2 linked regions of the Saccharomyces cerevisiae S288C genome follow. Changing the gene in region 1 together with any one later gene gives a genetic interaction. Each region holds a gene or a part of one and is shown in the gene's direction. Other genes may lie near its edges.

The links.
Region 2: of ASF1 (region 1) and CAC2, changing one enhances a phenotype caused by changing the other (phenotypic enhancement), as found in Saccharomyces cerevisiae (7 studies listed by BioGRID, with this or other methods).

What each region holds. Positions count from the first base shown.
Region 1 is NC_001142.9:193,480-198,473, forward strand, and holds ASF1 (nucleosome assembly factor ASF1), read left to right. Parts: upstream 1-2,807; coding exon 2,808-3,647; downstream 3,648-4,994. Other genes in the region: SUN family protein NCA3, read right to left, coding at 381-1,394; YJL114W (gag protein), read left to right, coding at 4,436-4,994. UniProt on the Saccharomyces cerevisiae protein: Histone chaperone that facilitates histone deposition and histone exchange and removal during nucleosome assembly and disassembly. Facilitates histone deposition through both replication-dependent and replication-independent chromatin assembly pathways.
Region 2 is NC_001145.3:65,544-70,303, forward strand, and holds CAC2 (Cac2p), read left to right. Parts: upstream 1-2,750; coding exon 2,751-4,157; downstream 4,158-4,760. Other genes in the region: NUP188 (Nup188p), read right to left, coding at 1-2,006; CUE4 (Cue4p), read right to left, coding at 4,192-4,545; YML100W-A (uncharacterized protein), read left to right, coding at 4,595-4,760. UniProt on the Saccharomyces cerevisiae protein: Acts as a component of the histone chaperone complex chromatin assembly factor 1 (CAF-1), which assembles histone octamers onto replicating DNA.

The sequences.
Region 1 (4,994 bases):
TTATAGCCAAAAAATGAAAAAAAACAGCATGGCATCTTGTTAGTTCTGTTGCAACTCGCAGGAAGTAACAAAATAAACACTATAATATTTCCATATATTTATATATATGTATACAAACACCTTGTTAACAAAAAAAAAATAAACGAACTAAAGAAAACCGTAATGCAGAGTACACCTTGAAGAGAGAGAAAAGAAAATCTTTGAATCCATAGCATAATAGCGATCAACGAAACTTTTTAAGAAGTAAAATGAACTGAAAGGAGAAAAATATAACGGAATCCCAATGTATAATAATAAATAGAGAGCGGAAGAAAAAGAATAATAAGGGGAATTGAGGGTATCAAAATACAAGACATTCTTTTACCGAAAAGAAGAATGACTTAATAGAAAACAAATTCAGCAGATCCAGATAAAACAGAAACTGTGCAACCATCGGAACCATCTCCGGTGAAAGAGCCATCTTCATACGCACAGCTGCCCTGAACGTTAGCGCCATCGGATGCAACTATTTTAACGTTAAAGTTGGCAGCTTGGTTACTGTTGGGGTTTGGAATCAACGACAAGTATGTTTCTCCATTAGTGGAACCAGCACCTAACACTAGTGGAGCCCAGTTGCCGACATCCGAACCAGAAGTACCCCAAATGCACCCATCTTCTGCAGATACACCGGCGTTGTTAATATAGTACTGAGCAGAAGTCTTTTTACCCTGCCATTGATAATAAGTGTCTTCATCAACGACTGAAATTGGTTGTGAATCTCCACCATCAACCACTGTGGGAATCACCATGTTTTCTGATCCTGGGTAATCCGTCCTACATAGAGCAATGGAGTCAGACTTTTTGTTAATGGCCTTAGCAGATGTTTCATCCGTAGAACATAAATCGCTGGTATCAGTGTTGGTACGGTACAAGTAACCATTTTTACAGTAAAGACCACCAACAGATTTACCATCGCTTGGTTGGTCAGAAGGCCATTGAGTCTTTGACATTCCAGGTTCACATGCATAAGAACAGTAGTAGCCATCCTTACATTCGGACGAAGTGTTGGCATCCATGTCCATGACAGAGGCCCATCCACCAAATCCTAGCCAGTCCAAGGAAACTATACCGTTTACAGAAGGGAAGTCCGAACATTTGACAGTACCATCTTGGAATCCGCCATCACGCTTCTGTTCAGAGGTATCCTTCTCAGATGAGGACAATGTAGTGGTAGTAGCAGCAGATTCTACAGTACTAGTAGCGGCATTGGAATCTATGTATTGAGTGACAGTGACAACCGCTGGTTTTTCATCTTTGTGATGATCTTCATGGTGACTGTCCGCTGGAGCAGGTGCAGGGGCAGAAAATGCGACAGAAGAAAGGGAAGACAATATTAAAGCTGCGGAAATTTTCATTATGTGTTAGAGAGAGACGAGTTAAGTATGTGCGACTATACTAGTATTATAATATTAAAGGAAAGTAAGGTACCGTCTATGAGGAGACTGTTAGTTGGATATCAGTAATGAGACGAAAAAGCTCGAAATGAATGGATATATTCTTTTTGCTACTGGCAACTGTTGAATATTTAATGTTAAAACAAACTAACTGAGGTATATTCGTATCTGTATGTACACATATACTATATACAGGAAAAGATAAGCAAGAGAGAGGATATCAACTACGAGAGCGATCGATTATATATCAAAAGCTGTCCGCTTTGCCACCCATAATCGGCGCTTAGTTTCGGAGTTCAATCATAATTCTACCACCTTACACTCAACTTACTCTTTAACTCCTATAGTATAATATCGCCACTGACCCCATATTAAAAAAATTTTTTTGCTCGATCTTCTATCCTCTTTAGGTTAATTGTCGCTGTTATTGTCTAGATTTTTTCTCGGAGATGGCGCATCTATTTGCCGTCAAAAGATCCTCTCATACCATATTAAGTAAATTGCCTCCATTTCTTTTTCCTCGGGCAGAGAAACTCGCAGGCAACTTGCTCTCGAAGTGGTCACGTGCGGGTCTAGGCCTGCATAATCGGCCCTCACAGAGGGATCCCGTTACCCATCTATGCTGAAGATTTATCATACTATTCCTCCGCTCGTTTCTTTTTTCAGTGAGGTGTGTCGTGAAAGAAAACCCACAATTAAACTTTCAACAACCGGGCGACTAGGAAGAGAGTAGTGGGCGCGGATGACGAAGGCTAAGGTCACTTCTTCGTTTCCTTTATTGGGGTTTCCGTGTAGCCTTCCCCTGAATAGTGTGGGACGTTTTATGAGAAGCCGTAAGAAATAGGCAAATTGAGTTATGACAAGTAGACATGATGCCGCAGCCTTGCCTGACTTTACGTCTCCTTCATGAATAAGTTTTTCTATCGAGTTCTTTTCCTTTTTTCGCCTTAATTAGCTCAATTAAGCCTGTCCTCACTACTTTTCTTTTTCTTATCGGCTTTGTGCCACACCTAACCTTCGAATGCTGTTTTATTCCGTTCTTACATGGGATGGTAATGCCTTGGCGAGAATTTCGATTTTCAGGATATTGTCTTGGTGGCGTCTTTTGCTGTTACTATGTGTTTAAGAGAGAGCTGTTCTACAAAGAACTTTTCATTTACGCGTTTTTTCCTTTTTTTTTTTTTCTCATCCTAAACGCGTAAATCTGTTCCCTTTTTCATGTAATGGGCGTACAACCGACGATGGAAAAATGAATCTTGCAATTTTAATACTAACACTTGGAATAACTCCAAACAGGTAAGAGGCTCACAGAATCTCGAAAGTGTAACAGCGTACTCTCCCTACCATCCAATTGAAACATAAGATATAGAAAAGATGTCAATTGTTTCACTGTTAGGCATCAAAGTCTTAAACAACCCGGCAAAGTTCACTGATCCATATGAGTTTGAAATCACTTTTGAATGCTTAGAATCTTTAAAACATGACTTAGAGTGGAAACTAACCTATGTTGGGTCCTCTCGTTCTCTAGACCATGACCAGGAATTGGATTCCATTCTGGTAGGCCCCGTTCCCGTAGGTGTTAATAAATTTGTGTTTTCTGCTGACCCTCCCTCCGCCGAGCTGATTCCTGCGAGTGAATTGGTTAGTGTGACTGTTATTCTATTAAGTTGTTCTTATGACGGGAGAGAGTTTGTTAGGGTCGGTTACTACGTGAATAATGAGTACGATGAAGAAGAGTTAAGAGAAAATCCGCCAGCAAAGGTACAAGTAGATCATATTGTAAGAAATATACTGGCTGAAAAGCCAAGGGTAACAAGGTTTAACATTGTTTGGGATAATGAAAATGAAGGGGATTTATACCCACCTGAACAGCCCGGCGTAGATGATGAAGAGGAGGAGGACGATGAAGAAGAAGATGACGATGAAGATGATGAAGACGACGAAGATGACGATCAAGAAGATGGAGAGGGAGAGGCGGAAGAAGCGGCAGAGGAGGAAGAAGAGGAGGAAGAGAAGACTGAAGACAACGAAACGAATCTTGAAGAAGAGGAGGAAGACATAGAAAATAGTGACGGCGATGAGGAAGAAGGAGAAGAAGAGGTGGGGTCTGTAGACAAGAATGAAGATGGTAATGATAAGAAGAGGAGGAAAATAGAAGGGGGGTCCACGGATATTGAATCCACTCCAAAGGATGCGGCACGTTCAACGAATTAAGAATTTATGGGTTATAAGATTAATGGTACCTGCAAGAGAGGTACACTTTATAAAATGTATAAATAAAAAAATAACAGACATAAGATAAAGTCGGGTTAGGGCAACAGCTACGTAAAAAATAAAAGGCAGTAATATTTTCCATTTAAGTTGATTTTCTTATTATTGTCGTTGAGAACAAAAAGAAATTGGACGAGTCCGGAATCGAACCGGAGACCTCTCCCATGCTAAGGGAGCGCGCTACCGACTACGCCACACGCCCTAATATTATTGATATTGTTGTTTATCAAAGTGAGATACGTCAGTATGACAATACGTCATCCTAAAAGTTCATAAAACACATATGAAACAACTTCATAACAGAACGAACATGTTGGAATAAAAATCCACTATCGTCTATCAACTAATAGTTATATTATCATGTTGGAACGAGAGTAATTAATAGTGACATGAGTTGCTATGGTAACAATCTAATGCTTACATCGTATATTAATGTACAACTCGTATACGTTTAAGTGTGATTGCGCCTATTGCAGAAGGAATGTTAAACGAGAAGCTCAGACAATACTGAAGCTGTGTTAAAGACCTATTAGTTGAACATGTTATGGTAGGTACATATATGAGGAATATGAGTCGTCACATCAATGTATAGTAACTACCGGAATCACTATTATATTGGTCATAATTAATATGACCAATCGGCGTGTGTTTTATATACCTCTCTTATTTAGTATAAGAAGATCAGTACTCACTTCTTCATTAATACTAATTTTTAACCTCTAATTATCAACATGGCGACCCCAGTGAGGGGTGAAACAAGAAATGTTATTGACGACAACATTTCTGCGCGGATTCAATCGAAAGTCAAAACAAATGATACTGTCAGACAGACGCCATCATCATTAAGAAAAGTTTCTATTAAAGATGAACAGGTGAGACAATATCAAAGAAACTTAAATAGGTTTAAAACCATACTAAATGGTTTAAAGGCAGAAGAGGAAAAACTTTCTGAGGCTGATGATATTCAGATGCTAGCTGAAAAATTATTAAAACTCGGAGAAACCATTGACAAGGTTGAGAATAGGATTGTGGATCTAGTTGAAAAGATACAATTATTGGAAACAAACGAGAACAATAATATATTACATGAACATATAGATGCTACAGGGACTTACTATTTATTCGATACGTTAACTTCAACCAACAAAAGATTCTACCCTAAGGATTGTGTTTTTGATTATAGGACTAATAATGTCGAGAACATTCCTATTCTCTTAAACAATTTTAAAAAATTCATCAAGAAATATCAATTTGATGATGTCTTTGAAAATGATATCATAGAAATCGATC
Region 2 (4,760 bases), on another chromosome or scaffold:
AGGTAATTCGGTGTCAGCATAGTCATAAATTCACAACATTGTACAATTGAGGTATAATCTTTTCTTTGTAGTGATATTTCAAAAATCTCGAAAATTACTTGGATAATCGACGCTCCATTTATGGTGCTGGCTGAAGTATCCAGAGAATTTGATAAATATGACAGAATTTCACTAGATTTCTCGATCGAGGTTTTCGGATCGACAACGTTAGTGACTAACTTTATTATGGATATCATCAATTCATGTTGTAAGTCATCCAGTTGTGTACCCTTTTCCATATATGAATGTAATAGATTTTGCAATATTCTACCCACCAAAGACCAACCATTGAATTTGTAAAGGAAAATAATCAAATTGGAAGTAGTTGGCGGCTGTTGTCCATTCTGTTGTTGTTGTTGTTGTTGTTGTTGTTTGATAGTAAGAATTTTTCCCTTTGTTGATTTTGGTATTGACAAGAGACAATTAGAGTTTTCGTTTTCTAAGGGTGGCGCCACTAGTAAATCAGACTTCAACTCTATCAAATCAGGCACTATAATATCGGAGGATGAAGAAGAGTTTGTTATTGTATCAGCAATTAAGTCATAATCCAAATCGTTCAAACTACTTTTGGTAACAGCAAATGAACATATATCTTTTAATTCAAAATTGGCAAACTCGGTATCAATTAAGGCTAAATTAATTAGCGGGATCAGTGATTCGTTCAATAGGGGCAATTTAGCCTTTATGATGCTCAATTTTTTCTCAAAAGTGTCATTAGTTAAGAAATTCTCAATGAACTGCTCTGGTGCCTTTGAAATTATCTTGGCGAAAACCCGGGAAGTAGATGCAGTTATAGGAATAAAATTTAAAGAAAACTCCAAAAATACTGTTATTACTGTGGTGTAAACAGGATCAAAGGATAGAATTTCTGAGAGAGTATTCAATTTTTGAAGAACATCATGTGATTCAGCAAACAGAGCAAATTTCGTTATGTCTGAATCATCAAATGATTCCGACGATTGTAATGCTCGCCTATAATAAAGTATAAATGACCAGGAGTAATGAATCATTGGATGGAAAATGGGGTCCTCGTTGACGATATTGGTTGCTACATCATTCTCTAGAGCGCTATTGACGGTGTCGAAAGTTTCTGTATCCATGTACAAAGGTGACTGAATATCAAATTGCGCGATTGAAGTGTTCAGTCCAAGTATCAATATAGTTGTGATAGTAAATAAAGATGAAATCCTGGAAATAAGCGTTTCTGAGAGGTAACTGAGGTCTTGGAAATTCTGAAACTTGTACAATTGTAGTGACGAGGTATCTATACTCTTGTCTGTTGAATTTATATTTCTGCAAAATTCAACAAATTGATTTTGATACTGTAGAAACCATTGATTGACGATATCTACTGGTACTTTTGTGTTGAGGATCATTAAATTCAAAATTTGTAATATCTGCAAGATAAACTTCAAATCAGAAAATTTTTTTAACTGCACCAATGAGACAATTGTGAACATGTCTTGATCGTTATTATAATCATGTGCTAAAGATGAAGCTGTAATAATGTCGTAGTTCTGGATTACAGATGATATTATAGAAATCAATTTCCCCACTACATTGAATCTATCGTTGTCAATAAATGAATATGTCTCGAGGTCGATGTCAGGGTTAACGAGAAGTGAGTATACTATATGAAGTCTAGATGATCTCTCAGACATAAAGAATTCTACAGCATGAGAAAGGTCCTCAGATTGAGCAAAGAATGGATCATTATCGACGTTTATTTGCAATAAGTTTGCAATTGTAGAGCGTAACTTGTTATGATCGCCGGAAGAAGTTACATTCTGCCTTATTGTGTTCAGACTCTCGATAAGATTTGTCTTGTTAGCTTTCAAAAACTGTCTTATTTGGGCCAATTGCTTGGCATCCACAGCGGATACATCAGCAGCAGCATCGTTCATAAAATTAGCAACATGAGTGAAGGTCAATTGTGGAGAGGAATTGCCAAATGAAGGTGTAGCCATGGCTGATGGGGTCCTTTTTTTAGCGGTGGAAAGGGTTATCTCTTTATTTGTGTTTCTGTTCGAATATTAAAGATGTCTCAAAGTATTCATTTCAAGAAGAAAATTTTTGGTATTACAAAATATTCTTACCCGGAATATATACATATATACCTTAACTACAAGCAGGAGCCGGCTTTCTGGCAAGGAGGGAGAAGACATAGATTGTTTGCGTATATATGTGGGAATAGCGTCCAAGCACGCCCGTGGCTGAGGGAGCACCACGATCGTTCGGTGTACTTGACACCTCTATATGGTATGTTCTTCCCTGATATTGATATCAGCACAATTACGGCTCTAAGAAACGATGAATATAAAAAACGTTAATTAGGAATTTGACATATGTGCTAGTATTCGGGCCCCTGAGCAAGTTTGTGCGCACGACGCCTGTCCGTTGCTGCACATGCTTGCGTGGGGCCTTTTTGTCGTGTTTTTATTTAGGGACTGTTATCGAAGGAATAGATTTCTGTGGTGAAAAGTAGAAAACTACTAGCTTTTATAGACGGTGGGGGAGAAAAAGGAAAATTAGAATTGAAAAAAATTTGAAAAAATATGAAAATGTGAAAAGGACGCCTTATTTCCTTGGGTTGCCCGGCGAACACGTTAGTTAACTCGCTGTCTAACTGATGGGCTATTATTATAGCGTTATAGTACGTATCAGAATTTAAAAGAAGGAGGCAGAAAAGCTTAGAGCAAAGGGGCAGGACAATGGAAGCTTCACATTTGCAAATCTACTGGCATGATTCACAACCCGTTTACTCGCTCACATTCCAAAAGAACAGTGCGAACGACAAGCTTTTCACCGCTGGTGGTGATAACAAGGTTAGGATATGGAAGTTGAACAGAGATGAAAACGGACAAAATGGGGGGGTGCGTAAGATTGAAAGCCTTGACTTTCTTGGCTCGCTGACGCATCACGAACAGGCCATAAATGTAATCCGATTCAACTCGAAGGGTGACGTACTGGCGTCTGCGGGCGATGACGGCCAAGTGCTGCTATGGAAGCAAGAAGATCCAAATACACAGCAAGAATCTGTGGTCAGACCATTCGGAATGGATGCGGAGACTAGTGAAGCAGACGAGAACAAGGAGAAATGGGTTGTGTGGAAACGGCTGCGTGGTGGTAGCGGTGCTACTGCGGCGGCAGAGATTTACGATCTAGCGTGGTCACCTGATAACAGGAACATAGTGGTGGCATGTATGGACAATTCGATACGACTGTTCGATGTTGGAGCTGGGATGCTGGTATGCGGCCAGTCGGATCATGGTCACTACGTCCAAGGTGTTGCATGGGACCCATTAAATCAGTTTATTCTCTCACAGTCTGCGGACCGGTCTCTGCATGTATATGGAGTCATTCTTTCATCTGCAGGAGTGGTTACAGGGCTGAAACTTAGAAGTAAGATTGCCAAGGCAGAACTGCCTTGTCCAGGTGATGTCCTGAGGACAAATTACCTTTTTCACAACGAGACGCTACCTTCATTCTTTAGGCGATGCAGCATATCGCCTTGTGGTGGTTTGGTCGTAATTCCCAGTGGTGTGTATAAGGTGGCTGGTGATGAAGTCGCGAACTGCGTATACGTGTATACTAGATCTGGAATACTGAACAGCGCTGGTGGCGTTAAAAACCGGCCTGCGATTAGAATCCCATCTTTGAAGAAACCAGCGCTGATGGCGGCTTTCTCGCCCGTATTTTACGAAACGTGCCAGAAGAGTGTGCTTAAGCTGCCCTATAAGCTAGTATTTGCCATAGCAACGACTAACGAAGTACTCGTGTACGACACGGATGTATTGGAGCCGTTATGCGTTGTGGGAAATATACATTACTCACCCATAACTGATTTAGCATGGTCTGAGGATGGCTCGACCCTACTAATCTCATCAACAGACGGATTCTGTTCGTATGTATCGATCGACACAGAAACGCAATTCGGTTCAAGGATAGAGCCGCCAGCGATGCATGCAGAGCCACTAGACACTGACGAGAGCGCGGTAGCGGCTAAGAACCAGCGCGAGGCAGGTGGGATCGTGAACATGCTGCCGGTGAAGAAGATCCCCTGCAATAGTAGCGATAGTAAAAAGAGGCGCATACATCCTACGCCAGTCGATTTGTGATTTTTAATATATTTAATGCGGTACATAAGAATGCCTAATCTAGTTTGCCAGCGAAGATATTTTCCATTGTGTGCTCAATGGACCCTGTGTTCCTGAGATCTTGCACGACTTTTTCCTGAGGCACATGTGGCGCCATCGTCATCACGATTTCAACCATGTCACTATTAACGGCTCTCTTTCGATCACTACCATGTCTGTTTAACCGAGCAACGCGTTCCTCCGGAGCCGATGGTACTGGCTCCGGAGAAGGGTCGTTGGTGGCGACCGAGGGCGCCGGTTTGGCATCCTGTACGGTTCGCGAGGGTACTTGCTTGGCGCCCCTGTGTTTCACGGTGTAAACAAACAAGCACACCATCGTCAGTATAAACACTATAGTCGATCCATCCATTTTTACTTTTGTGCGCGTGGGTAGCCGTGCCTCGTCTGTGTGTGTGGGAATGTATAAATGTGTCCCGAGTTATTATTCTAAAGCGGGCACCATTGTAGTAACTTATTGCGAAATTTCTGCTCTTCTCGTCTCGCTCAAAAATCGCGTTCAGGGTAAAAGGGGCGAAACAGAGGGCCAGATAGAAATTTCGAGAAAAGCGGGTCACCCCGCCCCTG